Linked DNA regions of Mus musculus. The protein of the gene in region 2 binds, or shares a complex with, the protein of the main gene of each other region. Links are inferred from orthologs where the notes say so. Each region holds a gene or a part of one and is shown on either strand. Other genes may lie near its edges.

Region 1 (5,462 bases), on a different chromosome or scaffold from region 2:
GCTTCCTGAGTGCACTCAGTGAGGGATAAAAGACATGAGGCATCATGTGTAACTAGAACAGCTTTGGTTAATCCATGATAACTATTTTATACTTGAAAGGGAATTCTCTACAAAAACATCTACATTCAAATTTCTAGTTTCCTGCTTGAAGGATGATGTGAGAAAGACAACATATGACAGCTGACAAGGGGTTTCCACAGAGGGACTTTTTCTTAGCAAAAGGAAAGGAGCAAAAGATCCATGTCTTAGCCAAATGTCACTGCTAGAGAAGCCTCCAATTTCCTTCTACTGCACAGTAGCTGACTAACACTGTGTGCTACAACATCTCCAAAAGCAGCAGAGTGGGATTACCACAGAGTACCACAGTCCACAGTCCAGCGCTATGGGGCACCAAACCACCACAGACCACCAAGGCTGAGGGGATAACCAAGAGACAGACATCTTTCAGCTTGTGGCCAACGCCTCAACTCACAACGACTCTGGAGCTCCGGTGACTTAGACCAATATTGGACTCTGGTTTGTGCTGACCTTCTGGATGGACAGCTCTCATGATTGCTGTTGGTGCTCCTGGGCACAACTGATAGTTTGCAGGAGCTGCTGTAGAAGCAACTCAGAGCCAGGACTTGGCATTAAAACTGCAAAATATTTAATCTTCAAACAGCTGGTGAAAGTACAATGGATACCAGGATATACAGAAGACAGCAGCTTAAGGTAATAAGCCTTTCGGAGGTCAATAAGCAAATTCTAAGATGCTGGGTTGGGGTGGTTTGAGAACTGACCTGGGATCAAAACCAGAAGTGACAACACTTCATCAAGGGTGGCCCAGAATCGGGAATCTGGAATAAACTTTAGCCCTAAAGTCAGTTTCCTTAGGAAATCTAAACAATTATTTGGAGAAATCGCCTAGACCATGCATCTCACCTTGCTAATAGCACTTGAGCAGCCACTGTCTCGAGTTGTATCCTCCGCCATGAGCACAATTGGAAATATATGCCAACCAGACGTACAGGGGGCTACCCCTTTCAGTTTTCCAATGATGATAGATAGGCAGTAGCCGTGTACACTATGGCTCTAATCAGAAAAAAGAGAGAGCCTACAACAGATAATTTGTCAAGCAGATAGACACCAGGCACCTTCAGATTCTCCTTTAACACATGCCATGGTCAGATAGAGTCTCTGACAGAAACAGTTCTCCAAACCAGGAGAGGTTGTGTGACAGTAAGGGAGACTTGTTGCTTCTGTACTAACAAATCAAACATTATCATTTAAGAAAAAAAAAACTTTACAAAAATTATTTTAAATCAAAAACATGAATGAAATAATTTCTGGTACCAGAAAACTATTAAAACCCATGGCTCACAATACTTTTCATTGTTTTGCCTGGTCCCTTACTCCCCCTTATTATGAGACTTGCTATAGAGCCTTATATAATAAATGGTCTTTTAAAGTTCATCAGATAGAAAATTTCCTCAGTTAGGCTAATGATACTCAGGAACTAGTATTTATCACTTGGTCAAGATCAAAAATTTAACAATAACTTTAAAATAAAAATTGGGAAATGAAATGACTAAGGTGACACCATCCTCTTCTGACTCCATTTTATGTTCGATTAAATAATTCTCAGCCCTTTATCTGATTCCCCCAGTGGTCACATATGCCTTGGCAACACATGTGAGACTTCCACAGCTTTGACCATTGGCCAGATGTATTAGCCAAAATAATTGGCAAGTTATATCTAAAGTAACTACTATGTTCTACCAGGGATAAATGTTTCATGGCTACTCTGACCTTCATCTAACTTTGATGCATCTTTCTGGGTTTTGATTTCAAAACTGTGTATTTCTGAACTTGGGGACCAAGAAACTTTTCAGAACCACAGCCCTGCTCGTGATTTGGCCACCAAGAAAGGACTTAAAAGTTTTAATTAATTAATCAAAAACTTTCTCATGTGGATCAGTACAGTTGTCAAGGACACACACTTAGAAGAGCCATTCTGTGTTTACCAAAAGAAGCAAGCATCTCCTACCAATGGCCTACACACCACACCCTACCCAATACAAAATTGTAAACTATTTAAACATTGTAAAAATATTATTTGGGGCTTTTTTTTTTTTTTTTTTTTTGGTAACTTGATTGTGATTCTCCAGGATAAACTTTGTAGAGGTCAGGTGGGGTTGCATTATCAAAAGGTTGGTCAGACGTGCATGCTAGAAATTAAATAAGAATGGGCAAGGGCACTTTAGGAATTGCAGAAAGAGCAGGTAAATGGGGCATGAAGAGATAAAGTAGGAAGTTAAGTACACAGGAGAGGGTTCTTGGGTGACAGGAGAGGAAGCTGGAGTGCAGAGGCTAGGTGAAGTGTTGTTATCTAGAAGGGTAACCTGACCCCTGAGAGCTGATAATGGAGTGCCTATAAAGGCTTTAAAGTAGCAGGGCAGAGTCTCATTTTGATATAAGTACTATGGCAGCACAGGAGAAAATGGATTCCATCAGAGCAATGGAGTGGGTAGAGTCCAGTTAAGAGAATGGTCCGTAGTTTGAAAGAAAGTATGAGGTCCCAAACTAGAGAAATGCAGTGAAGAATGGGAAATATTAAAAGTCAATGTCCTCTGATTGAATTAATAACAATCTTATAGCCTTCAAGCCTAACAGAGTCATTACATACCTTTAAAAAAAAATACATGCGTTAAGTATTTGTAAACTGATGTTGAAACCCGAGTCGGCTGACTTGTTTCCTTTACCCCCGATTTCTACACAAAAGCACCTTTTCTCATAAAACTCCAAAGAAACTGGTTATTCGACGGGGAATAACACTATGTATAATCCCACTCACAACACAGATTCTGAGAAATCTCTACTTTTGTCTGTTTTGCCCACAGCTAATTTTTGAAGGAAGTCTTATGTCCCGGTCTGGGAGCCCCGCCCTGCACACCAAGACAGCGCCAAACTTTTGTTTTGTTTTGTTTCCTTTTGTTTTGTTTTCCTTCTCCAGAGAGGCGAGTGGCCAGGCCTTCCTCATCACTCACTCAGCGGGTTGCGGGACTAAAGCCCCGCGGTGTAAACAGTTACCCGCAGGGATTAAGGAGAAGGCGAGGGAGGTTTGTTGAGACTGCAAAGATTAAAGACTCCGATCCTCATAGTCTCATCTCCAGGTCGCCACTTGCTGAGGGGCTCCCTCCATGAGTTACGATAGACGGTCCCTTCTATAATTATTGTAATGCTTGGGCTCAGAGCGAGCGGGGAGTGGAAAACTAAGTTTCTTTTCACTTACCCTAAAGGCCGCCATACCTATGACCCTCTCGGCTCAAGTTTTCAGACGGAGAGCGCAGAGGGACAAAGCAGTTCACTTTGCCTTGCGTCACCATAGCCCCGCCCCTTTACGCTAGGAGCCCGCTGGCCCTGCCCTTTCCCCGCCCTCCTGCCATTGCTTTTGTAGGCGCCAAAGTCAATTGGTTAGCACTTCTTCAGAGCAAAGGGCCTATCTTTGCGGTTGACATTCCAGTCCTCATACATCTAACCTCTAAGAATAGTCTCCACACTCCAATTAGAAATTGTTTTCTTGGGTGAATGACTGGGTGTTTACGGGATTTGTCTAGATAAGAACTTAAAACTCAACTGCCTTAATAAACAACCATATAGTCTGTCACAAGAGCAGGTCACCACTGCAATCCTTGAGGCAATTCAATTACATTCATTCTAGAACTGTCACTAAACACCAATTCTGTCAGGAAGTTGCTCACAGTACACTACAAAACCTACATACAGCACCAAGAGAAAATGACAAAAAAATTTTAGAAAGGCCTCAACACTATTCAAGAAAACAGAACCTTGACAAGACGGTTCAGCTTGTAAGAAGTACTTACTGGCTGACAAGCCGGATGGCCTAAATTTCACACACACACACACACACACACACACACACACACACACACAGAGAGAGAGAGAGAGAGAGAGAGAGAGAGAGAGAGAGTAAATAAAATGTATTAAAAGTGTAAAAGTAGAAGCTATCTGTTGAGAAGGAATGGAGTTTTCTAGTTCATACAGATAGAAGGCGCTGATAGGGTGATTTGAAGAAAGTCATGAGGAATATAGGCAAGTGGTCTATGCAAAAGTAATATCAGGAACAGAGAGTGGTAGGTCCCAACAATGAAAAAACAAACATACCACAACAGGGGCTCTCTGTGTCACTATAACTAGTGTGGATTGTTTGCTTTTGTTTTGTTTTATCCTTTTTTTTTTTAGTTGCCTGTTTGTATTCCAAAGATGAAGGCATGGAGTCGGGGTCAGAGGTGGCAGAATCTGGGAGGACATGAGGGAGGGAAAACTGTGATCAGAATATATTATATGGAAATTCCTAATTAAAAAAGAATAAAAAGAAATGTAATTGGAAGGCTTTTAGCATTGGTGTGACTTGATCTAAAATACATTATAAAATGATGATTATGATGTTCCCAGGAGACTAGATTGTGAGGAGGTATATTATTCTCTGTAAGGGTACAGGCTCCCTGAGGCCTCTGTGAATAATTCGGAGACAAAGAGTGTCCATTTATGTTCCCATTAACTTCACAGTATTAGGTAACTGCATTCACTTATTCATTTAATAAATATTTAAGTGTAAACTATATACTAAGCATTAGTGGTATACTAAACATATTTGATACTTAAGGCAGGTTCATTTTTAATGAATATATAATGAAATATATTATTAAGTTATTAAATAAATAACAATGGTCATGAATAAAAGACTAAAAGTTTTTAATATTTTTTTACACTTAAAGTACAGCATACATGTTTCTAATAAAATATCGATATGAAATATAATATTAAATCAAGTAAATTCTATTATATAAACTATAAATAAAATAGTGAAAAATATTTAAATTTTTCATGAATTTATTTTCCTGATAAGAATAAAGCTATTTATACAATTTCAGTTTCTGGTTTTGAGGTTTAACATTTTTAATTACATTATCGAAATCTAATATTTGTGAATATTCAACAGGTGCTTTGAGGAGGTTTTAAGTGATTCTATTTGTTCATTGTTAATTGACATGCACTTGTCAATAATTTTAATACTAATAAAATTTTCACAATTAACAGTAAAGATGCAATTTGGGATAACTGTGAATAAGCATATATAGAAGAGAGAAATTCTTTTTGCTCAAAACTTCAGGAATTAAGGTAGGATCCATGTCTCTGCTTCTTTAGAATCAATTATTAAGTTATTAAAGGTTTCCATAATTGATCATTTTAATTTTAATTTTTTTATCACAGTTGGTAACAACTTCGGATTTTATTTTCTTTTTTAAAAAAATGAGTGAGGAGTCTGGGCAGGAGAGCCTGTGGGCTGCAGATGCAACATAGCTTCTGGAACAGGGCTCTTTCTGGGCCTTCATCTTCACCCAGGAAGCAGATCTGAGCTCCAGACCTCTATGCACTTTCCCTGCCAGAGGAGAGGTGGC
Region 2 (4,676 bases):
TTTTCTCCTGAAAGCTGGGAGTGTATCACAGTAAGCTTCTTAAATAAGCACTACAGTGAACTTAATATTAAATTTACATTTAACCTGTGTAAAATTAAATCAAAAACTCTGACTGTTGAAGTTTAAATGATATTCCTTATCATGATTACAAACCCCAACGAACCCGTGACAAGAGAGTAGACAGCTGCCAACCTCAGTGACTTGCCTCTGTTTTCCCCCCTGGCAATTCTGGAGGTAGAACATAAGCTATGTCTCCAATCAAATTTTACTTTTTAATTCTGAAACAGATCTACACTGTAGCCCAGAAATTTGCAATCCTCTTGCCTCAGCATCCTCAAACACATGGGTGTATAGGCCTGTACAGGCAGATCTGTCTTTAGTATGAAGCTTGTTAAGAACCTCTTGGTTTAGGGAGCTAGAGAGATGGCTCAGCGGTTAAGAGCACCGACTGTTCTTCTGAAGGTCCTGAGTTCAAATCCCAGCAACCAAATGGTGGCTCACAACCATCCGTAACGGGATCTGGCGCCCTCTTCTGGAGTGTCTGAAGACATCTACAGTGTACTTACATATAATAAATAAATCTTTAAAAAAGAAAAAAGGACCTCTTGGGTTAAATTCAAGGAATTTTTCATTAAAAGAATCTGCTTCTATGTCAAAGGAAAAACAAAGTTGAGACAATGTAAAAGATCATTAACAGGGCACATAAACATAATAGTATGTGCTATAGTACATAAGCAACAAAGGAGACATGCTTTGGGTTATCAGTCCACAGCACTTTTCAAAAATACTGTTTACTTTTATGTATAATATATGTGTGCCTGCACAAGTTTATAAGCACTATGTGCATGCAAGAGCCTGTAGGAGCCAGAAGAGGGCACTAGATCCCCTGAAACTGGAGTTGCTCACAACAGCTACTCTGTGAGTACTAGGAACCAAACCTTGGTCCTCAGAAAGACAGTAAGTATTCTTAAGTACTGAACTATCTCTCTAGACCCCAAGCTCACTTTTATACTTGATATAAAGATATATCCTTAAATAACTGTTTAGTTTATAGGTTCTTAAACTTCACAATAGCACCAACCTATTCTGTATTTTTAAATAATTTTTAAAAAAGGATTACATATATTTATTTATTTGGATTGGGTATACCATGGCAACTGTGTGGAGGTCAGAGAACAATTTTTGAGAATCTGTTCTCTCCTTCCTCCATGTGGGTCCTGAGGATAGAACACAGGTCACCAGTTTTGGCAGCAGGTATCCATACCACCAAGTCTTCTCTTTGGAGAGAGACAATACCAGGTCACTTGCACTGATACACATAAGGCACATTTGACTATTTCAAAGTTTATTTTCTTTTTTGTTTGTTGGTGCTGGGGACTGAACTCAGGGCTTGTACATACTAGCCAAGTGCTCGACAATGAGCAAGACCCTCTAGCCTAATCCTCTTGCCACTTTTCTCCCTTTTTTTTTTTTTTTTTTTGAGTCAAGGTCTTACTACATAGCTGTCCTGGAGCTTGATTGAGATATAGACCAAGCTGGCTTCAAGCTCACAGAGATCCACACCTCTTCTGCCTCACAAATGGTAGGATTAAAGGCATGTGCTACTAGACCAGGCTCTTTTTACCTTTTTTTAATGCTGAGGCTCCAACTCAGGGCCTCTTGCATGCTAGATACTCTTTGAGCACTAAATTACGCCTCTACGCTCAAATTCTGTGCTCTTACTACAATAATGCCTTAATGTACATTGGGAGTTTCCTTAAGCAAATACACAGGAGCTGAAATGCTGGGTTAGGAGGATACACATCTCCAAACCAATTGCTAAACAAGTGGCCCCTGGTATCTTCCTACTCTTATCAATGTTCTGGGTATACACACTAGACGGCTCTGTCACTTCACCCTCAGGTGACTGTAGCATCTTAACTTTACGCTTCTGAGACAAGATTTCAGTATGTAACCCTAAGCTGTTTTAGAACTCACTATGTGGACCAGACTAGATTCAACCCAGGCTGGATCCTCCTGCTTGCTGCCTCCCAAGGACTCAGACTAAAGGTCTACACAATCATGCCTGGCTCTATAACCACCTTTTAACCAACTTCTCTGCCCTTAGGCATCATACCACTACTTTTATTCAATTTCATAATCTCACAAGAATGGGTTTTCCAGCTAGTGTGGGCACAGCAGTGAATGCCTGTAATCCCCAGTACTTGGGAGGCTGAAACAGAACAGTGATGAACTTGAGAACAACTGGAAGAACTGGGGTCACTAACAGAATTCTCAAGTGTGCCTTCACTAATCCATTCCAAAGATTTTTAAATACTAAATGATTTGAATAAGTATATAAACATACGTATCTTAACAGAGTTAATGTTAAGACATCACTTTAAATCACTCGAACTCAGCCAGGCGTGGTGGCACACGCCTTTAATCCTAGCACTTGGGAGGCAGAAGCAGGTGGATTTCTGAGTTCGAAGGCCAGCCTGGTCTACAGAGTGAGTTCCAGGACAGCCAGGGCTATACAGAGAAACCTTGTCTCGAAAAACCAAAATAAATAAATAAATAAAAATAAAAATCACTCAGACTCCACTTTTAATTTTTGAGTAGCAAATCAGAATCAAATCATGAATCATAGAATTAAGCACTAGAGGAACTTCTGCTCACCATGATTAGAACTTCAGGAATAATGTATTCTACCTGCTGTGTGTGACAGAGAGAAAATAACACCTATGCACTGATTGGGACATAGAAGCACTGGGATTTAAAGACTGGAGTTGAAGCAGGTTTAGATTAGTTGATTAGATGCTAAAATACAGAAAGAAAATGGCAATCAGTTGTACTTACTCATCCCTTTCCATCCAGGAGTGATGTCTGGAGTGATACTGTCCAGCTCTTTTCTAAAGTCATCTCTTGCTTGGACCACAAGTTCATGATACTGAGATACCACCTTTGCCTCTGACTGAGCAGCCTGGACCTAAGCAGATACAAGGGGTCTCTGGCTAAATGGAACAAAAGACACCATCTACACTCTTAAGAAACCAGTCTAGCTGGGGGTTACAAGCAATACACAGAACCTGAAGATCAGAAAATACAAACTAACTTGTCTTTTTAATACAACTTGTTTTGTGAAAGCGTGTTATACCTGTGTTTGTGTGTGTGTGTTCATACAGCACAGTATGTGAGTAGACATCAGGGGACATCTTGAGAGAATCAGTTCTCTCCTTTCAATAACTGAGCCCCTAAAATCCAATTCAGATCATCATACTTAGAGGCAAGTGCCCTTATGCTGCTACCAGCCATCTGACACAAATTTTAAAAGTAGTTAAAAATGAAACTTTTAAGACGTATTTATTTATGTATATGAGTGTTCTATTTGCATGTATGCCTGCATGACAGAAGAAGGCATCACAGTCTATTACAGATGGCTGTGAACTGCCATGTGGTTGCTGGGAACTGAACTCAGGGCCTCTTCAGTGCTCTTAGTGCTGATCCTTCTCCCCAGCCCCATACTTTATAATGAACACTCTACAATAAAAACTTAAAAGAGATAGTAAGAGTCATTTTCCTGAATTCTTAAAAATGCTTTAACAGATACTTTAAACTATAAAACATTACAAAGACTAAAGAAACATACCTTTTTGACGACGTTATCCAGATCAACTATCATGTTGTGAAGTCTCCCCTCTGCAGCAGTTATATGAGGGGTGGCTCCAGCAATCTCTCTTTTCTTTGCATCTTCAATTATAGTTTTCATCTTCTCTAACTCTTCTCTGTGGAGAAAAAGAAAAAAATATAAAGGCTCCTTATAATTGTAACTACCTTTATTAAAGAGTTTTGAAGTGAGTGTAACACATGAATATCCTCAGGTCATGGAACATGAGCCAATTCGGGCTTCGGAACAAGAGACCTCTGTCGGTTTCTATGTCCGAACTTAGCTGTGTTTTCTGTCAGCTTGACCCAAGCTAGAGTTATCTAGGAACAAACCTCCACTGAGAACATTCTCTCATCTGATAGGCCTGCAGTCAAGCCTGGGAAGCATTGTCCTGATTGAGGAAGGAAGGAAGGAAGGAAGGAAGGAAGGAAGGAAGGAAGGAAGGAAGGAAGGAAGGAAGGAAGGAAGGAAGGAGAGGGAAAGGACAGGAAAGGAAAAAGGAAAAAAAGAAAGAAAGAAAGAAAGAAAGAAAGAAAGAAAGAAAGAAAGAAAGGAAGGAAGGAAGGAAGGAAGGAAGGAAGGAAGGAAGGAAGGAAGGAAGATAGATAGATAGATAGATAGATAGATAGATAGATAGATAGATAGATAGATAGATAGATAGATTGATTGATTGATTTAAGAAAACAGGCTGAACAAGCCATGGGGAACAACAGTAGGCAGAATTCCCCCATGGCCTCTGCTTCAGTTCTGCCTCCAAGTTCCTGCATTGACTTCCCTCAATGATGGGCTGTGACTGAGCCCCTTCCTCCCTAAGCTGCTTTCCTTTATGACCAAACTAAGATAATAGTTTGTATGTTGACATAGGAAGCAAACTAAGATACTAGGTTTTGCCAATTTGTAGGAAAAAAGATCAAAGTTGCAGACAGTTCAATAAATTAACTGGTTTTGTAGTGCTGGCAAATGGTTATGATATACATTCTGAATTCTGATATAACTACTCTGAGAATCCTCACTAAAATCTGGAAATTAT
Region 3 (4,676 bases), on a different chromosome or scaffold from region 2:
TGACTTAGTTAGGGAGAGTTTTTATAAATTATATATCAAGATGATAAGACTTGTAGTTTTATTTTTTTTACTCTTTGAGATACTGAATAGTAATGTATTTCCTTGGCACACTTAGAAAATATTTAAAAAGAAGACCTACCTATACATTTTCTGATAGTTTGTTTTCTCCGTGGGAAATTGCTAGAAAGCACAAATCACTTTTCCTAGTAAGTACTTATTTTCTATTATTTTTATGCAATATATTCTGATCATGATTTTCCTTCCCCCAACTCCTCCCAGATCCTTTCTGTCTCCCCAATTCCATACTTCTGTCTGTATCTCTCTAGAAAACAAATAGGCAAAGAAAAATCCCAAACCATAAGAAAAAGAAAAACCATGAGAAACACTGTGTGTGTGTGTGTGTGTGTGTGTCTGTCTCTCTCAAAACAAAATCTGAAAACATAATATACAAACAGAAGATTAGTAAGACAAAAAAACCAAAGCAATCAGTATGAGACAGAAAGTCTACAGAATTACCATTGAGTACGTTTGTATTGACCACCTACTGCTGGGCACGAGGCCTGCTCCTAAGTGTGTTTAATACACTCAGTGAGACTTCATTGGTGAGAACTAGTTTTTCCTTTGCAAGAGGATGTCATTTGGAGATAGCATCTTGATTAGGGACAGGAGCCTGTGTCTAATTCCTTTTCTGAGCACTGAGGCTCTGTCTAGCTTAAACCCATACAGGCCCTGTGTATGCTGAGTTCATATGTGCTTCAGTCCTGTTGGGTCTGGAGGACACGATTTTCTTGGAGTCCTCCACTCTCTCTGGGTCTTACAGTGCTCCTCTTCTGTGTAGCCCCCTTAGCCCTGAGGGGAGGGGTTTGGTGAAGACATCCCATTTAGGGTTGACTGTTCCAAAAGCTCTCACTCTTTATACATTGTCCAGTTGTGGGTCTCTGTACAACTCACTTTTTGGCGTGGCCTGCCTGATTCTGGACTGCTGATCCAAAATATTCACTTTTTTTTCTTTCAAAGAATTTAAAGGCTTAGATTCTTTCTGGTTCTTGGCAAAATTAGAGATGCTTAACTAAATATTTAGTACATACTAGATCAACGAAATAAATAAGATATCTTCTCTGCATTGTTTATATTCTTTATTGTCTGTATTTCCCAGTAACTATTTGGAATTTCTACTTTGGTCCATGTCTGTTACCTTGGAATAAAGGGATGTACTGAAGTCCCTGGTGGCCAGGCGAGATTACTTGAATAGTGTTCTATAAAGCTAGTTAGTTAGCTTCTCTTTCCTCTCCTCTCAGGCCTTAGTACTGTTAACGGGGAAGAGGTGGCTAATGGTGGCTACTGAGAAGGCTCTTTTCTAGGTGGGCAATGAGTTTGCTCACCTGCTTTGATCAGTAGCAGCCTGATATTTGCCATATAACCAGTTATTCTTCAGTTCTCTCAGCCTTTTTTTTTCTTAAAAAAACCTCACCACCACCAACCAAATGCAAAACAAAACCTATGAGCTGGTAAAATGGCTCAGTGGATAAAGGCACTTGCTGCCAAGCCTGATGACTTAGTTTGATCCCTAGGACCCATATGGCAGGAGAAAACTGACTCTTGTAAGTTGTCCTCAGACTGCCACATGTGCACCATGACACATACCCTCCCCGAAAATGTAACCCCCCACCAAACTCCTCCTTTCACTCATTAGAATAGCAGAATTTTTTCCACTTTAAGTTTAAGGTAAAATATCACTCCTGTAGACTGATAGAGGGCTTGCCTTGCATAGGTTTAATACCCCACACTACCAAGACAAAATGGTAGAGTAGGTAGGGAGAAGACAGAGCGCCTTGCAGTCCTGCCCTCTTGTCTTTGTCTTTATTGAGGAAGTAAGGTACAAAGGCCATCTGAAGTAAAGTTAGAGGTTGCAGCCCTTAGGGTAACTGTAATTTATAAATTATTATAGACGTATTAACCTACAAAACTGCTCCTATGTTACATGATCTCATGGTATATGCTTTTCTTTTTGTTTTAATATGTGTAGCTTTCACTCTACTCAGTTCCTGAGGGTCAATCTAAATATGTGGAGGAGCCAAGGACTCAACTTGAAGAAAACATCTCACAACTCCGACATCATTGTGAGCCATATACAAGTTTCTGTCAGGTACATCTACTTAAGAGTTAATAATGGAAATTCTATATTGGCTGTAATTTTTCATTTTTTATTGTTTGTTTCTTTCCTTTCTCCCTTCTTTCCTCCCTTCCCCCTCTCTCCTTCGCTTCTCTCTCGCTTCCTTCGTAGGACCTCACTCTGTAGAGTTGGCATGGAATTCACTACATAGCCCAGACTGTCCTCAGACTGACTGACAATCTTCCTGCTTCATTGACTAGCACAGGTGCTGGAGTTAACAGATGTAAGCCATCATGCCCAGCCCTGAGTTCATGTTTTTAGAAAAAGGTGTAATAAGGATCCAAAGATAAGCCTGCCTAATTTCTAAATGTCCCTTAATGCTACCCGGAGAGCAAGTGCAATCAAGCCTGGCACTCTGCAGCAGTGAGGGGAAGTTAGCTCTCATCAGAAGAGCTGTGGCACATTGCCCAGAGAGCAGAGGGCTAAGAATTACCTTACCTTGTTGGTTGGTATTAAAAAGCCATTGTGTATATCAGGGTAAACATGTGACACCAATGGGAGGAAATGAATAAAACATAAGCATGTATATCAAAATTGTGCTGTTATTGCTGGGGCGATAACTCAGTTGTTCCGTGAGGACCTGCGTTTAGTCCTTAGCACCCAAAAAAGGTATGCATCTTGGCATAGACTTGCAGCATTGGGGTAGCAGAGATTGGTAGATTTTTGGAGTTCACTCGCCTAGCTTAGCCTGATCAGCAAGACCCAGGTCTTTGTGAGAGATTCCATCTTAATAAACAGTATGGCTCCTGAGAAATGACACCCAAAGGTGAATATCTGCACCCAAACTTGCTGTCACACACAGGCACCACACACCTGTATATAACACATACCTGTACATGCTTATCATGGACACACATACAGAAAAATGAGATTTTTCTCTCCCTCTAAAAACTACACATCTCTACAGTCTGAGCATCACTGATTTGAGAGTATTTTGGATTTGGATTTTCATACTAGGGACATCCATGCTAAAAATACAAAAAAACAAAAACCAAAAACCAAAAACAAACCAAAAAACCAAAACCAAAACCCCAAGCCCTCTGAAACCTAACAAACATGTGTTCCTATACATTTCAGATCATGGATACGCATGCAGGTGAGACTACCTAGGTGTGGTGGGGCATACCTTTAATCCCAGCACTCTGGAGGCCTCTGCTGACCTGGTGTACATAGTTCCAAGACACTTAGGCTATATAGAGAAACACAGCAAGCAAAACCAACCAACCAAAAATCCCAGGCATGACTATAGAGTATTTGGGTACTGTAATAGGAAAGTAGATGCCATACGTAGTAGGGTAGAATTACATGTTTGAGTATTGAACTTTCCACTCCAGTGACTACTACAGGTACAGCTTGACTTCTGTCATCGTGCATGTTTTAGGTTCCAGACACTTGTTGTTAAGCAACCGAAAGTATTCTGATTTTAAATATCTGAAACCAAATTTTGCAGTCTATAGAATGCTTTTGTAGGCTTTAGTACATATTCACTGTACTTGCTCATGATTTTGAAAAGGAAGGAAAAGGAAGGAAAATAATATGTTAATGTATATAAGAGGATCCAGGTTTATTTTAATTAAGATCTGCAAATTCAATTTTCATCCAAGACTTTTTGTAAAAATTTAAATTTCATTAATTATGCTGTTGTTGAACTTTTTTCTGTTTACCAATTGAGGAAGGAAAAAAGCATATTAACTCTATCAATGGTCTAAGCACATTCTACTAGACACACCTTACCAGTGAGCTGCACCCCAGCCTGCTTGTTCTGTAAGACAGTATTTTTGTCAGCTGGTCGTGGTGGCATATGCCTGTGACCCCAGCACTAAAGGTATTGAAGCTGCATGGTTGCAGCCTGCCTGAATATATAAGGAGATGCTGTCTCAGAGAAAAAAAGGCGTCTGAACACTAAGCTTCATGATTCCACCACAAGCCTTCTCTTTTAAAAAATGTTTATAGATTCTCTCATATACTACAATCTGACTGCAGTTCCTCACCCTCCTCTCCTCACCACCCCTTCCCACCGCCTATCCATGCCTCCTCTGTTTCTCTTCGGAAAAGGACAGGCCTCCCAGGGATAGCAACTGAGTATGGCATAACAAATTAGAATAAGATTAGGTACTTTCTCTCATATCAAGGCTGGATAAGGAGAGAAGGGTCCCAAAGGCAGGGAAAAGAGTCAGAGACAGCCCCCGCTCCCATTGTTAAGAGTCCCCAAGAACACGAAGCTACACAGCTATAACATATATGCAGAGGGTCTAGGTCAGTCCCATGCAGGCTCCCTGGTTTTCAGTTCAGTCTCTGTGAGCCCCTATGAGCCCAGGTTAGTGGATTCTGTGGGTTTTCTTGTGGTGTCCTTGACCCCTCTAGCTCCTTCAATCCTTCCTCCCCCCACTTTCCCCAACTTTTGCCTAATGTTTGGCTGCGGGTCTTTCCATCTCTTTCTAGAAGCCTCTCAGAAGACAGTTATGCTATGCTCCAATTTATATGTATACTAGAATATCATTAG
Region 4 (4,676 bases), about 18 Mb from region 2:
AGGAGCAGGTGTGGCACACAGAACTAACTGCTCATTACTGCTGCATTAGATGGGAAATGTTAACACTTGTCAGCAGAATCAAGTTATAAAACGTATTACCTTTCCTTCTCATTAGTTTTATGAAACTTTTCCCAATAATGAACTCAATCATTCCCTCATGCAGAAGAGGATGAAAAATCAATACTATAAAACTGAGAGAGAAACAGAGAGGGCAGAAGACCGCATCAAATACCTGATGCCTCTCATTAAGTCCAGACAGGGCAACAGACCCAAGGGTGTGGGACTTAGGGACACTGAGTCACAGAGGCACAAAGGAGGCTTGGGAGCCAATTCACTCCAGCAGTCACTAGGTGTGCCTCAGATCCACACACATTTCCAGACTACCAGGCCACCAGAGCTCTGCCTTGAAGGCTGCCAATCAATCCCTAGCCTTTCAGCACTTGTACACAGGAGGCATAGAAGGCATGCATGAGGGGAAAAAAATCTCCATACTTAGTTCAAGTTTTTTTCTCCATCTTTTTTCTTCTCATTTAAATGTTTTTTCCTCTCATTTAAATGTGCCATAGTTAAAACTCTCTCCACTGAAAGCACTTGCCAACCCTACCCATCCATAGCAAGCTGCTTCCTTTGCACTGATGGCAACAGCACCTGCCCACCACTTTAACTGCTGACACAAAAAGGGGCCTTAGTTCCCTTCTCCTACAGGTGGCCGCAGGTCTCCAGAACCAGCTACTACAGCATCTCTTCTAGACAGTTCCATGATTCACTTGCCACAGGTCCTCGTATAAGAGGTGCACCTGCTGCAGCACTGCCTACAGAAACCAACTCCAGCAAACTCAATAAACAGTGAACTGATAGCTCTCAGCAAATGACATGATCTTCAAGATGGCAGGAGGACCAGAGAGAAAACAAGTGTACCCTAGAGGGGTAGAAGAGAGCAAAAGACATAGCCTAACAGTATAAGGGGCCTCACAGCCCACCTAGGCTACAATAAATAACTGCCACCCTGGCCTCCCACTCTCCCTCTGTACTCAGTTCAGACTAAAGTCCCTAGGAAGGGGCTGGCTATCTATCCCTCGCTGAACTTGGAACATATGCCCAGATCTAGCTTCCACAGAGGCACTGAAATTAGAATCTTACTGAGACCGAAACCACAGGAGACAGGAAAGCTCCTGAAAGAAGATCTGAACTCTAGTCATAAGGAGAAAAACATGTTGAGCAGCCAAAAGTAGAAGTGCTTACAAAAGTAGATAAAATATTTTCAGCTTGAAGGGACTTGCTCTACTATTCCCTGGAAATAGTTTGCAGAGGGCATCCATCTAGGAAGCTGGGAGAAAGCTGGTAGGGCACATTTGCTTCATTCTAAGGTAGCAATTAATTACCAAGCACACAAAAATCCAACACCTGCACCCAGGAGCACCCAGTCCTTCCCACATTTCCCCTAGAGACAGCCAGAAAGCAAAGGCAGGAGGGAAGGCCTCTTCTCCTTTGCAGGTGGAGGGAAGAGAGGCTGTCAACTCCCTTCACTGTAATTATCACCTTCAGGTGAGAATGAAGCGGGCGGCATGCTCTGCTCTACAACTGTCCCAAGTAAACGACACCTGCCTTGCTCAGTCCATGATTAACCTTATATCTCTGTAAAGTGATCTTCTGTATTACTGGCTGTCAGGCTGCCTGCCTCTCTGCAGACACCCTCTTCTTCGGGAAACTGTTCTAAAAACTGCTCAGATTCTGTTGTAAAAGCACAAGTCAGACAGCCCATTCCCATCCTTATAACTATTAGAATGTCTCTACTGTTTTAGAGGTATTGAGGGTTGCTTTGTTGTTAGCTCATCAGGTCACCCAAAGCCTTCCATAATCTGACCTCAAGCTTTGACTGTCTCCATCCTGTATCCTACCATTTGTCTTAACTGCTTCCTAGTCCCAGTGGCTACCCATCTTCCAGGGAAAAGGTCAATGTCATTTCTGCCTACCAGCAGGTCACAACAATCCCAAATAACTCCTCTCTGCCACTTAACACTGGACTTGAACCAACTTGCCTCTTTCAAACTTCTATCTTCTCCCCAGTCCTGAGAGCCAGGAGCTAAGGGCTTATACCTTCCAGAGCATTTCACCCACTGTATGCTTCCCACAGCTGTGTGACTATTAGGTCTGTTAGCTTATCTCATCCCAGAGTTACAATCTCACCCCAATTTCTGCAGTCTTCTGTGTGCATAGGCTGCTGACCTAATAACTGAGGCAAAGCTGCCCCTAGTCTGAAACCCATAGTCTCCAACTCAATTGTCATTAGATACTACCAACAGCCAGACTACCCCACTTGCCATCAGCCTGGGTCTGTCTGTCCACTTCTCAATCGTGGCAATGAAAGGATCCTAGTTGCAGATAGCACAGTCTCCTTAGTCCCTCTGTGTTTGAATGTTAGCCCTGGGTGCCCAGTACAATTCAGACCAATGGAATGGAAGACCAGTGCTGCCGGGAAACCTGTCCTTGCTGACACAGACAGGCTGGCACAGATTCTCTTCTGCTGCTCTTCTGTTGTAATCATGAGGTAGCAACTGTAGCAACAGTCATCCTGAGTGTGGCTGGTTGACTGGGGAAACAGTGAGGAGGAGGAGTGCCGAATCCCTGATGATGCCAGCAGCTGCTGAACTGGCCCACCGGGTGCTCCTAGACACCTCACTTGTAAAATAAACTCTGCATTAAAGCTGAAGAATCCTGACTAACAGCTCTGATCAATTAGATGCATTAATAACAGCAGCGGCAGTCATAGCACTCCTTCATTGTTTCCCAGCTCCTGCTAAGCCCTGGGTAGCTATTATCTCTGACCCCTGGGGCAATCCTGTGTGCGAGCATCATGATCTTCCAACAAGGCTCAATGTGCTGAAGCTGTAAGCAAAGGGCTAGGCTTTGCACCTGGGCTGCCTTGCTGTGAAAATGATGCTCTTGGTATCATACACTGCATGCCCCCAAACCCCACCCTATACCCTCCCAACACACACAGCACTGCAGCCCTTACACCAGTGATAGCTATGACAAATGAGACTCTCAATCCCCCATGGCTCTAGAGGCCTGAAGCCACAAGAATGGACTCTGACAAGGTGGCAAAGCAAACCACTTAGTCAAGAGTCCGAAGACTCCAAATTGCCAGTGCCTGGAAAACACCTCAAAGCCACAGCTGATGTAGCCAGCTGCTGCCCATTCCTGCACACACTGGCAGACAGGCCAGCTCTGAAAGACACACTCACTAGTCGAGCTGACTGCTGTTGCTCATGGGTGAGGCTGGCCTTCTTCTTGGGCAGGGATGCCTTCAAGTGCTTCTCAGCTGCCTCTTTTTCCTTTTTTGCCACCCTGACCATCTCATCCTGGACTGCCAACTGCTCCTGTTGGAACCTAGGCCAGAGAGAAACAGAGAGAAGCTGATGCAGAAGGCATGGCTAGAAGAACATGGGTAGGAAAAGACCTGCCTGCTCACTGTACCTGTCTAAGCAGGGGTGGGGTTTCTGGCCCTTGGCTGCCCAGAACAGAATAGGAAACCATAAGCCAATTCTTTCACCTGAGTGGAAGCTTCAGTGACAGCCCCCTAGACAAGGGACAATGACATTTAGGACAACTCAGATCAGGAACAGGAGAGCTAGCCAAAGGCAAAGAATGAGTGTTCTGGCAGGGTTGAATCCCATGTGAGCCATCCTTTCAAACAAGTAGGCAGGGTGGGGTATGGCATTCTTGTTTGGCTGAGAGCCTGAAGGTTTTAGACAGCAGCACTTTTGAGGTTTAAACATCTAACTTTGTCTGGAGTACAATCGTAACCTTTGACCTATCCTGGCATTCTGCTAGTGTATCACAGCAGATAAAAGCTAGGAGGACTAAGATGCCCTCTGTGTTGTTCATAGAAGTAAAATAGCACAAGCAGCAAGCAGCAAGGTCATGGTAGAGAAAAGGCCACAGCATCATGAAAAGCTATACCACAGCTTCAGTGCTAACTTGAATTTATATGTAACAAGTTGAATCTAAAAACTGAGAATGAACAAACTATCTGATTAGCAATAAACGTGCTTGAAAGCAGGTGTAACTGATGGAAAGTAATTATAATAGAAAGTAAAGCAGCAAGATATGAAAATGCCTAGGTCGTTAATATAAACAAGTTAAGGTAAAGACATTGTGTGCAAGAGACACCCAGAAGAGCCACAGCAGTTGCACTGAGATAATGAGTCTATGGGGATTTGTTTTTATTTTATGTAGTTTTAAAAAATCTTTTATCAGCATGTATTACTTTAAAATTGCTAAAAGTTACTGAAGGGAATGTGGAGGTTGTACATTCCTGGAGATACCACTGGGATACAGGAGGGTAACGTTTGAGACCATGAGTCTTTACCTAGGGTTGTCATGCTGGAGGGCAAACCCCCCAGCAAACTGGGCCTTGGGACCATACAGAGGCCGTTTCCTCAAAGACAATGAGGAAGCCCATGCATAAAGAGCACAGAGGGCAGGCACTGTACTTACCCCTGACTATGCCCCCATTAAGAACACCGTCCCCTGCAGTGATTTCTCTAGGTAACAACTAATGGGTCAAAAAATCAGAAAGCTGGCCTAAACATAAGGGGCCTCTGTGCCCTAGGCACTTTTCTACACATCCTCGGGACAGAGAAAATGGTACTGTTTCATGACAGTTGTGAGTT
Region 5 (4,676 bases), about 39 Mb from region 2:
GTATCAGCCATGGATTTGTTGCATTCAGCTGCACTCATGCTTAATCATATTTTATTCAACATTTACCCAGACACGAGTCTTGCTGTCGTCTGTTGGTCAGTGGTTTTCTGGGGCTGTGTTTCTGAAAGCATAGCTGACTCCTTTTTGAAGCTGATGTTCATTTATTGGGGATTAGGGAAGCTCAGGTCCAGAAAAATCCACAGACATCCAGAGCGTCAAAGGCTTAAAAGAATTGAAACCCCTGGCATTGGATTTAAATTCTGCTCTCAGGTATTAGACAAAGAAGTAAAATAATGAATGAAAAAGTAGAAACAGTGTTGTGTAGAATCAATCTTTTTCTCTGTATGTCTGCTTTCTTTCTGGGGTAGTGGGAAGATTGCCCCAGGGACAGTCATGTGGTTTGCATTTCCACTCCAGCAAAATATATATTAGTTTATCGTGTTGGGTTAAGTAATGAGGAGACAAACTGTCACCCAAGGGTCTGCTTATTGATGGGAAATATTCCCCCATGTTCTCTGAGGCTTTTGTTTTTAGAACCCATTAAACTTAAAATAATGCTACCTCAGGACTATATGGAAATACCAAATTTAAATTTCAGAGACAGAACTGATAAGATTGGAAGCATTTTTTTATTAAACAAACTAATTTTTTTAAATATACAAATTCATATATTAATGATTGTTTTGCATATTTCCTCTCTCTGTGGTTAGTCTTTGTACCTTGAGTTCTGCTGCCATACAAACAAGAATATTTTCTGTGTGTAATTTATTTGACTTATTATTTTCAAATGTGTATTATAAATTGTGTGGAAACATTTATGTTTGGCATGCCATTCTCATGGAGAGAAATTCTACTAAAATCTGAGCGTTGTAAATACAACTGCAGAAGTTTAACCTGGAAGATTTTTAGATGTTTGCCCTTTTTTTTCCCCCATTCAAGAAGCTTATTGTATGACTTCTATAAAAATTATCCACGGTGAATAGTAAAGGTCACAAAACAAGACATAATTCCTTGGAATTTACATTCTAATAAATGTAGGCAGGTGAATTGCACTAGATTATTGCATAGTCCATGACATGGGCAGCGCAAAATGCTAGCACAGGGTCACCTTAAAGGAGGAGAAAACCAGGGAGAGTTGTTCAAAGAAGGTTATATGAGCTACGCTTTGAAAGATGTGTAGTGATTTTCAGTTACATGGGAAGGGTGGGAATTTGGGTGCCAAGTATTTTCTAGCTTGTGACCACAGATGTGAGATCCGTAACTGGCCCCTAAGTATGATTTACTCAGGCTGCAGCAATATTCAGGGTCCAACAAGGGCTAAAGGCAGGCAGGAGCCTGATCATATCTCTGCTACCCTTGTACTTTATAGCAATATAGAGAGTCTGACTTGAATCGATGGATTTACAAGGAACTCTCTAGATGACCTGTAGATGCAGGGAGAGGGCTGGGACTATAGACACACAGACCAGAGGTCATTGCTTGGATCTAGGAAGTATTTTGAATTTTTGTAATAATGGTGAGTATGGAAGATTAGACTGCAAGGACCAGATCTTCATGGCCTGCTGGCCATGGGTATGCCAGAAGAAGTTGGGACTGGCAGATTTCTGACTTGCCAGACCAGGCTGTAGAAAAAGAGCACTGGTGTTATTTGTAGGACCTCGGCTTATGTTTTACATAACTTTTAACCTTGACCATTAATGGGGATGCCTTGTCTCAATTATCCTCATTTTTTGTTTCCAGGCGGTATGAATATCATCCAGTCTGTGCAGATCTGCAGACCAAAATCCTCCAGTGTTACCGTCAGAACACCCAGCAGACTCTCAGCTGCTCTGCTCTGGCTAGCCAATACATGCACTGTGTCAACCATGCCAAACAGGTGGGTGTGCAAGCTGACTGGGGCACCTGAAAAGTAGAAAGCCCAGTCATCCCAGTGGGTGGGAAACTTTCTCAACTCATCTAGAATCTCTTAAATCATGTTTTGGCCATAAGCTCTATCCAGTTCACTGTCAGAAGAGTCCAGATTCTAGGTAGGCCTAGTGGCTTAGGCCCGTGATCCCAGCTGCTGAAAAGACTGGGCAGGGCAACTTCAAGTTCAGGGGCAGCTACAGAGCGAGTTCAAGGACAATCTGGACAATGTCATGAGACCGTGTCTCAAAGTAAAAGTAGGAATGGATGTGCAACTCAGTGGTAGGGTGCTTGCCTAACATGCTCAAGGCCCTGGGTTCAAGCTCTCCTGAACTCTCCTTGGATTTATGTGCAGGAGCAGAAATATATTTAAAAATATGCTTAATTGCTCTAAACCTTTCACTTTCTAATGGTCCCAGTGGTCTTATCCTCATGGTCATTACCTCACATCCCTAAACAGCACTGTCCAAACTATGGATGAAGGCTATAAACTAAGAAGCAAGCACACTAGGAGTTCGTAAGTAGTAGGAGGTCTCACAGGATTAAGAGAAATCTACTCATCTGTTACTGTCTTAGTCAGGGTTTCTATTCCTGCACAAACATCATGACCAAGAAGCAAGTTGGGGAGGAAAGGGTTTATTCGGCTTACACTTCCATACTGCTGTTCATCAACAAGGAAGTCAGGACTGGAACTCAAGCAGGTCAGAAAGCAGGAGCCGATGCAGAGGCCATGGAGGGATGTTCTTTACTGGCTTGCCTCCCCTGGCTTGCTCAGCCTGCTCTCTTATAGAACCCAAGACTACCAGCCCAGAGATGGTCCCACCCACAAGGGGCCTTTCCCCCTTGATCACTAATTGAGAAAATGTCTTACAGCTGGATCTCATGGAGGCATTTCCTCAACTGAAGCTCCTTTCTCTGTGATAACCCCAGCTGTGTCAAGTTGACACAAAACTAGCCAGTACACTAACCATTCCTCCACCAGTTAGTAGAGGCTATTATTTAAGCTGGAGAAAGAACCTGAGTCATACTTAGGAAAGGCTTTCCTCCTTCTGCATGCTTCACTTGACCCTTTATGACTGCATAATATGACACTCATAAGATGCATATTTTCTCTAATTTATGTGCTTTAGAAAGCTAATGATATCCCAACAACAAATTAACAGTCTCAACAGGTCACACAATTACTTTACAGTTGGGTACATGGGATTTGAAGAGACACAAGTTGTTGGAAACTCAGTTCTTTCTGCTGATGAACTCCCTAGAGTTGACCTCGCCCATCTCAATCTAGCAGTTGAGTTATACAGCATGCCTTTCCACAGCCCAGTTTGCTCCTGTTATAATAATACCACTTAGTGTAAATCTCCAGTACTGCATAAATATCTGAAGGGAGGGTACTATTGTCTGGGTATCTTGGAAATAACAGTAACATTAAGTAGAAAAAATGTAATCAAGATTAAAAACCTGTGTTTTCTTGACACGCCTCATCCCTTGCTTGCAGCCACACTTGTATAGCTGAGTATCTGCCAGGGTTCTTTAAAGGTCTTGCTAGAGGTAAAGCTACTGATGTTAGGGTAGTGTGTGTTGTTTGTCACAGAATCCTCTGATGAGCTCTTAGCAAGCCTGCAGCCTTCAACAGCAACCACCTGAGCCCTTGGGACTTGTAGACTGACTCGTGGATTTTTCTAATGTGATAATAAAGACTTGTGGAGTTGGACTGCGTCATTGATAGAAAGGTGATTGTGTCACCGTGCGTGTTTCTGGAGTGGTGTCTGACACAAAGTGTCTTATTTCCAGTGTGCTTTCTGCTGTCGATGAAGTGGCAACACTGAAGGTCTTGGAGCATTGGCTCCGGCCACTCTGCCTGGTGAGGTCATGTTGAATCACATTTAGTGCTGTGGTGTCCTGTTTATGGAATAAAAGAAAAGCGATTATTGCAACAAGGTCACATATGACACATGGTACTGTAGAGGGGAGAATCTGGCAGGCCTGGGTTTGGAACCAAGCCCTATCTTTTAGGTCTCTGGCCTTGAGCCTTGGTTTCTCTTATTAGTGAATTGGGTCATGATGTGATGATTCCAGTATTAAGTACGCCTTTGTTTTTCCCGAATTCAGGATCATCATTTAGGAAAGCTATGAAATTAAACTGGTAATTCAAAGAGACCCACTCAGTTTCCAGCCTGCTGTGGCTCTCCTTACTCACAGCTAGTCTGTTCAGAGTGTCTAACACTTCACAACTCTAGGTTAAGTTATGTGGAAGTGAATGGAAACCAAGTAATGTCAAAAAGATTAGAGTCTTGCCATAAATTGGACAACACTAAGATACCGAGAACCATGAAGCATTGACCCTTTCATCTCCTTAAGCCTTAGGATTTCAAGGTCACCTCACACCCACTCTCTTACTTGTTTTATGACAACCTGAGATGAAAATAGAAATGGTTTCTTTCATCAATGTGCAGCCCAGAGCGTTGACACCTAGGGAAGTCATGATGGTAAATTTAACAACTAGTTCAAGATGCACCCTGCTATCAAAACAAAATTTTAAGAATAGGTTAAGTGATCTTTGTTTTTTTGAGCAGGTGAGAAGAGACATCCATCATCCACATGTACAGAATGAGGCAGTGAGGGAAAATGAGACCAGACATGGCGAGATGAGCGAAAGGCGCATTGAAAGGCTGCTGCAATGGTACTAGAGTCTGTAGGTCACGTCACACATAGGGCATGAGATGATAGTGCCCAGGATCAAAGGGGCTGCTTGGCCTGCGCCCTGAAAG
Region 6 (5,330 bases), on a different chromosome or scaffold from region 2:
GTGGGGTGGGGTGGTAGAACACAGCAGGGGCTGGACTTGAATGCAGGAGGGAGGCTAAACTTGAGTGGGAGCTGAGGGCAGAGACCAAGAAGGGCAAGGGCGGGGCCTAGTATCCAAGAGGCAAGCCTCTGGCCCATGGGGAGTAGGTATTTCTTGATGCCCAGGGCGCCATCCTCCAATGTCCCCCTATATTTGCAGGTACACAGAGTATTTTGCTGTATCTCTATCACTGCAGTTTCTGTTAACAAGCACACACTGAAAGGTATATTCCTGTTGACATTTAGCCAGGGAAGAAACAGCCTCAGGTCTGGAACAAGTTATAAGGAAGTTGGATGAAGAAAGTGCTCTCAAGTTCTCCCATTCTTCCCTCCCACTCACACTCACTTCCTACCCCCATCCCAGCCCTGCACCCACACACAGGGAGGCTCGCCTTCCGTGTGTGAGCCTTAGTGGGACATAATGAAGATGTCCTGCTGCCAACATCCTTCCTTCTTCCTCAGACCACTCACTCTGGTCATTCTGGGAGTGGGGGGAAAACAAAGCCCTGGGCCCCTTAAAGGGTCCTCCAGGAGCCAGTCCAAACTGCCCAGTCTGCTCAGCTTTGTCCCAGGTCCTGGGCCTGTGCACTGGCTGAGTTCTTGCTTGGACGCTCTTCCCTAAAACTTACTTCTTTCAAATCTTAGGTCCAAAGATACACTGTCTAAGCGCTACTGGCAATGCCACATGCTACCTTGCCATGTTCTAGGCTCCTCTCACCCATTCTTAGTCATGAGGGTTGGTTTATTTTAGTTCTGGGTGAAAAGGAGAAAATGTCACCATAGACACTGGACATGTCTGTAAAAGCAGGAATGAGGAGGCCCAGGCAGGAGAATTCAGCTTTGGTCCATATGAGTTCCAGACCAATCACGTACAAAGAATAAGACCCCGTCTAAAAAAGAAAAAAACCCACAAAGCTGGGTGATGGTGGAACACACTTTAATACCAACACTTAAGAGGCAGATGCAGGCAGAGCTGTGAGTTCGAGGCCAGCCTGGGCCACAAAGTGAGTTCCAGGACAGCCAGGACTGTTAGACAAACCTTGCCTCAAAACAAGCAAGCAAACAATAACCAACCAAAGGCAAACCAAACCAAACCCAACACAAAAATAAGTAATAAAGAAATAAAGTTGTGTGTGGGGGGGGTCTTGTGTATGGTTGAATCGGAATGACCCCTACAGTTTCATGTATTTGAATGCTTGGTCCCCATTTGGTAGAACTGTTTGGCAAGGATTAGGAGATAAGTTTTCTTGGGGCAGGGGTGACAGTGGTGTGGACTTTAAGGTTTCAAAAGCCCACACAATACCCTGTAGTCTCTTTCAGCTTATGAGCCACAATGTAAGCTCTCAGCTGCTGCTCCAGCGCCATCCCGGTTTGCCTGCTGTCATGCTCCGCGTTACGATGGTCATGGTCCTCTGAAACTGGAAGCAGAAAACTTTTCCTTCTATTGAGTTGCCTTGGCCATGGTGCTTTGTCAGGACAACTGAGAAGTAATTAGGACAATAGGTCTCCATAGACAATTACAAGGCATCCATGCATCCATGGTGCACATCTGCTCAAGCTCACCTTGCAACCGAACAGGGATCTACATGATGTCCACTTGGCCGCTAACCCCTCCTGCGGCACTTCGCACCCCAGTGTGGCTCCTTGTACTCCGGACCACCCACCGCCAACCCGTTCTCACATGACCCCAAGACTTCTACCCGGCAGGGATCCTCCAGCGCCTTGGCCTTGGCAAGTCAACAACCTTGGCAAGCGTCCATCTCACAGGCCATCTGTAGCCTCTCCAAGCTTCCTAGGTTAGAGCCACACCCCTAACCGCTCACGTGAACCAAAGGCCTGCTTCTCTGGAACAATCCAGCCCTCGCGTTGCCGTGGTAACCATCACTTAGGCTTGCTTCACCTGGGGGACACTCAATTCTCCGCGCGGGCGCGGGGAATCCGACCAGTGTCTTCCGAGGGCTCGTCTCTGTCGTGCCTCCAGACTACATTTCCCAGGAGCCTTCGCGGCCTAGCCCTTCTTTGGTCTTCCGCCTAACTAATACATTTCCCAGAAAGAATTGCGGCAGCCACGGACCTCGACCTACAAGAGTCTAACTCCATTGCGGCTGACAGCGACCACTACATTTCCCAGGAGTCTCAGCAGCGACACCAACCGGAAGCGGCGGGCGAATTACTTGTCCTTGCGCGGCGAGTGAAGCGAGAGACTAACCATGGTGGCTCGAGTGTGGTCGCTAATGAGGTGCGTGGACAATCGTGGAGGCCCTGAGAAAGTTCGGGGCTGTAGGCATCTCTGCCTCGTGGCTTAGGGTCCTGCGACGGCTCACTTCCGGTTGTTACGGACCTTTCTCACGGTCTGTGTAGGGAAACTGGCTTCAGCCAGCCCTTATCACCCTACTGCTTCAATTTACTCTTAGGTGCAATTCAGATGCGTAGGCAATCCTGCCCATCTCCCTCCGTAGCTGACTTGAGTAACTTGCGGGGAAGCTCCGCCAGACACCCTGGAAGGTTTTGTACCAGGGATCTTGAGTGTCCATTATCCTTTGCAGGGTTTCGAATGACCCACCCTGTCTCTCTTTAAGACTCCGTTTACTGCTAAAAGTCGTGTCACAAAGGCAAATGAAATGATCAACTGGCCGGGAGTGGTGGCACACGCCTTTAATCCCAGCACTTAGGAGGCAGAGGCAGTCGGATTTCTGAGTTCGAGGCCAGCCAGGTCTACAGAGTGAGTTCCAGGACAGCCAGGGCTACACAGAAACCCTGTCTCGAAAAACAAAACAACAACAACAAAAAATGATCAACTGTCTGATCTCTGAGATCCTGCCCCCCACAGCGTCTCCCTTCATGTATTCCTGAAGGTTCCTCATTAAGGGAAGTGTGGCTGGAGGAGCAGTCTACCTTGTTTATGACCAGGAGCTGCTGGGGCCTAGTGACAAGAGTGAGGCTGCCCTGCGGAAGGCCGAGGAGGTTGTGCCACCAGCAATGTACCAGTTCAGCCAATATGTGTGCCAGCAGACAGGTCTGGAGATGCCACAGGTACCTTGGCTGGGAGTGGGTGGCCTACAGGTTGCTTCTGGGTGTCCTTGGGGCCTCCTCCACCCCTGCTTGGTGGAGTTTTGTGTTTCTGGGTTTGGGAGACAAGGCTGTGACCTGTTTCCCGTGTCAGCCCGTGTTCCTCTTTCTTCCCAGCTCCCAACCCCTCCAAAGATTAAATTTCCAAACTTCCGTGATTCCTGGAACTCAGGTAGGCCCCTATGCCCCTGCTTGGGGGGATGCCTGGGCACCCCAGCCTCTCTCCCAGCCCTGTTTACCTCATTGACCCTTTCTACTCCTCCATGTTTTCCTGTTTGTGTGCCTGTATATCACCTATGGAACTAAGTAGAAAGGACTGGGTATGGTGGCCCATGATTGTGACTTTAGTATTTGGGAGGCCGAGGCAGGAAAATTGTAGTTTCAAGGCCAGCTTGATCTATAGCCAGGACTACACAGGGACATCCTTTCTCAAAAATAGGAAAAACAAAATACTTAAAAAAACCCTAAGGGGTTGGGGTTGTAGATCAGTGGTAAAGATCTTTCCTAGCATGCATAAAGCTCTGGGTCCTGTCGTCAGCACCCCATAAATCAGGCATGGTGTTTGTAGGTCTGTCATCTCAGCACTCAGTGCAGGCAAGAGAATGAAGGATTTCAGGGTCATCTTTGACTACATAGGGAATTCCAGGCCATATGGGATATATGAGACCTTGTCTCCACAAAGAAAAGCTGGATATTGTTATACACACCTATAATCTCAGCACTGGGAAGAGCTGAGGCAGAAGGACTGAGAGTTTGAGGATAACCTTGGAATATATTAGTGAGATGAAACCTTTTAAAACAGAGCATAGGGAAGGGGTTGTGGTTTAGATCCACACTGGAACTTGTCCATCAGGAAAGGCTAGTCCCATTCCTCCTCCATGTACTGCTCTTGCACTCCCCAGGGGTTGGCTGGCTGAGTGGCTCTGGCAAGGTGGGGACCTTATGGCACCTGTGTGCTGTCTCTGCAGGCATCATCTCAGTCATGTCAGCCTTGTCGGTGGCCCCCTCCAAGGCCCGAGAATACTCCAAGGAGGGCTGGGAGTACCTCAAGGAACACAGCAAGTAATGGATGCCACCTGCCCCAGCATTATGGGGGTCAAGACCAGGATGGCAGAGACATCCCAGTGGGGACCTCACTCTGAGGGCAGCTTCCAGCATTGCTGGCCCAATAAAGGACTTGGGAATGGTCCCCAGCCGGTTTTCTGGTGGGGGGGGGATGTAGAGCCTTTGCTTTATGGGCAGAGTCCTGGCTAACAGGGATCTCTATGTTCCAGATGTAATGTTTGGAGCCCAGAAAGATTTTAGTTTTAGTTTTTTGTTTTAACTTTTAAAAATTTTGTGTGATAAAAACCATGACCAGAAGTAGCTTGGATAGGAAAGGGTTTATTTCAGCTTGTTACTCTCAGGTCATTCTCCATCACTAAGGGAAGTTAGGGCAGGAATCTGGAGGCAGGACTGAAGTAGAGGCCATGGAAAATTAGTTTATAGGCTTGTTCTCCATGGTTTGCTCAGCCTGCTTTCTAATAACACCCAGGACCACCTACCCATAGTCATCAATCAAGAAAGTGTCCCACAGTCCAATCTGACGGAGGCATTTTCTTAACTTAGTGCTTGTGTGGGTGTGCTTGTATATACACACTGGCACTGTCTGTTGTGAGCTCTCCATCATGGGTGCTAGGATCTGAACTAGCCATGGAACCATTCTTCCAGCCTGTACAATGGAGTAGGTACTGTGGTGCGGGGAGCCTGGACTTGGGGCCCTTAATAGGGGCTTCACTTGCAGTGGACCAGTTCTTTTTGACAGCCCCATTGCCCAAACTAGTCACAGCCACTCAGGACTCCCAGCCTTGCCCCCTGAAGGTCCCTTTTCCTAGGGACCCTGCCCCAGCATTCCTGTCCCATGCTGCACCAGCTGTCTGAGTCCTGAAAGTCTCTATTAGTATATCAGAAGTCTGTGACTGGCAGCCATGCCCAGAAGGGGCTGGAGTCATGGAGAACAGTGGCCAAGGTGTGAGGACTCCAGGCCTAGCCTCTGCCACATGGAGTTCTGCAGATTGTTATGTGACCACATCCAACAGGATATAAGCCACTTTAGGAAACAGCCCATTACTCTTAACGGTGTTCCCAGAGGCTGGGTGGCTGGATGGACACAGGACTGTCAGGCTCACCCTGGTCTGTGAAGGCATATAGCATTGAGCTTATGGGATCACACTAAGTCCAGAA

Evidence for each region.
Region 1: Immt (region 2) and Apool share a complex: the UniProt entries of both Homo sapiens proteins name them as parts of the mitochondrial contact site and cristae organizing system (MICOS) complex. The link is inferred for Mus musculus from reciprocal best matches to the Homo sapiens genes IMMT and APOOL.
Region 3: Immt (region 2) and Apoo share a complex: the UniProt entries of both Homo sapiens proteins name them as parts of the mitochondrial contact site and cristae organizing system (MICOS) complex. The link is inferred for Mus musculus from reciprocal best matches to the Homo sapiens genes IMMT and APOO.
Region 4: Immt (region 2) and Chchd6 share a complex: the UniProt entries of both Homo sapiens proteins name them as parts of the mitochondrial contact site and cristae organizing system (MICOS) complex. The link is inferred for Mus musculus from reciprocal best matches to the Homo sapiens genes IMMT and CHCHD6.
Region 5: Immt (region 2) and Chchd3 share a complex: the UniProt entries of both Homo sapiens proteins name them as parts of the mitochondrial contact site and cristae organizing system (MICOS) complex. The link is inferred for Mus musculus from reciprocal best matches to the Homo sapiens genes IMMT and CHCHD3.
Region 6: Immt (region 2) and Micos13 share a complex: the UniProt entries of both Homo sapiens proteins name them as parts of the mitochondrial contact site and cristae organizing system (MICOS) complex. The link is inferred for Mus musculus from reciprocal best matches to the Homo sapiens genes IMMT and MICOS13.

What each region holds. Positions count from the first base shown.
Region 1 is NC_000086.7:112,309,246-112,314,707, reverse strand, and holds the start of Apool (MICOS complex subunit Mic27 isoform 1 precursor), read right to left. Parts: upstream 3,357-5,462; 5' UTR 3,287-3,356; coding exon 3,272-3,286; intron 1-3,271. UniProt on the Homo sapiens protein: Component of the MICOS complex, a large protein complex of the mitochondrial inner membrane that plays crucial roles in the maintenance of crista junctions, inner membrane architecture, and formation of contact sites to the outer membrane.
Region 2 is NC_000072.6:71,861,433-71,866,108, reverse strand, and holds part of Immt (MICOS complex subunit Mic60), read right to left. Parts: intron 3,765-4,676; coding exon 3,629-3,764; intron 2,969-3,628; coding exon 2,839-2,968; intron 1-2,838. UniProt on the Homo sapiens protein: Component of the MICOS complex, a large protein complex of the mitochondrial inner membrane that plays crucial roles in the maintenance of crista junctions, inner membrane architecture, and formation of contact sites to the outer membrane.
Region 3 is NC_000086.7:94,380,085-94,384,760, forward strand, and holds part of Apoo (MICOS complex subunit Mic26 isoform 1 precursor), read left to right. Parts: intron 1-2,026; coding exon 2,027-2,146; intron 2,147-4,676. UniProt on the Homo sapiens protein: Component of the MICOS complex, a large protein complex of the mitochondrial inner membrane that plays crucial roles in the maintenance of crista junctions, inner membrane architecture, and formation of contact sites to the outer membrane.
Region 4 is NC_000072.6:89,564,342-89,569,017, forward strand, and holds part of Chchd6 (MICOS complex subunit Mic25), read right to left. Parts: intron 3,391-4,676; coding exon 3,246-3,390; intron 1-3,245. UniProt on the Homo sapiens protein: Component of the MICOS complex, a large protein complex of the mitochondrial inner membrane that plays crucial roles in the maintenance of crista junctions, inner membrane architecture, and formation of contact sites to the outer membrane.
Region 5 is NC_000072.6:32,801,090-32,805,765, reverse strand, and holds part of Chchd3 (MICOS complex subunit Mic19), read left to right. Parts: intron 1-1,740; coding exon 1,741-1,876; intron 1,877-4,676. UniProt on the Homo sapiens protein: Component of the MICOS complex, a large protein complex of the mitochondrial inner membrane that plays crucial roles in the maintenance of crista junctions, inner membrane architecture, and formation of contact sites to the outer membrane.
Region 6 is NC_000083.6:56,606,587-56,611,916, reverse strand, and holds Micos13 (MICOS complex subunit MIC13 precursor), read left to right. Parts: upstream 1-2,145; 5' UTR 2,146-2,248; coding exon 2,249-2,277; intron 2,278-2,893; coding exon 2,894-3,071; intron 3,072-3,224; coding exon 3,225-3,279; intron 3,280-4,075; coding exon 4,076-4,173; 3' UTR 4,174-4,465; downstream 4,466-5,330. UniProt on the Homo sapiens protein: Component of the MICOS complex, a large protein complex of the mitochondrial inner membrane that plays crucial roles in the maintenance of crista junctions, inner membrane architecture, and formation of contact sites to the outer membrane.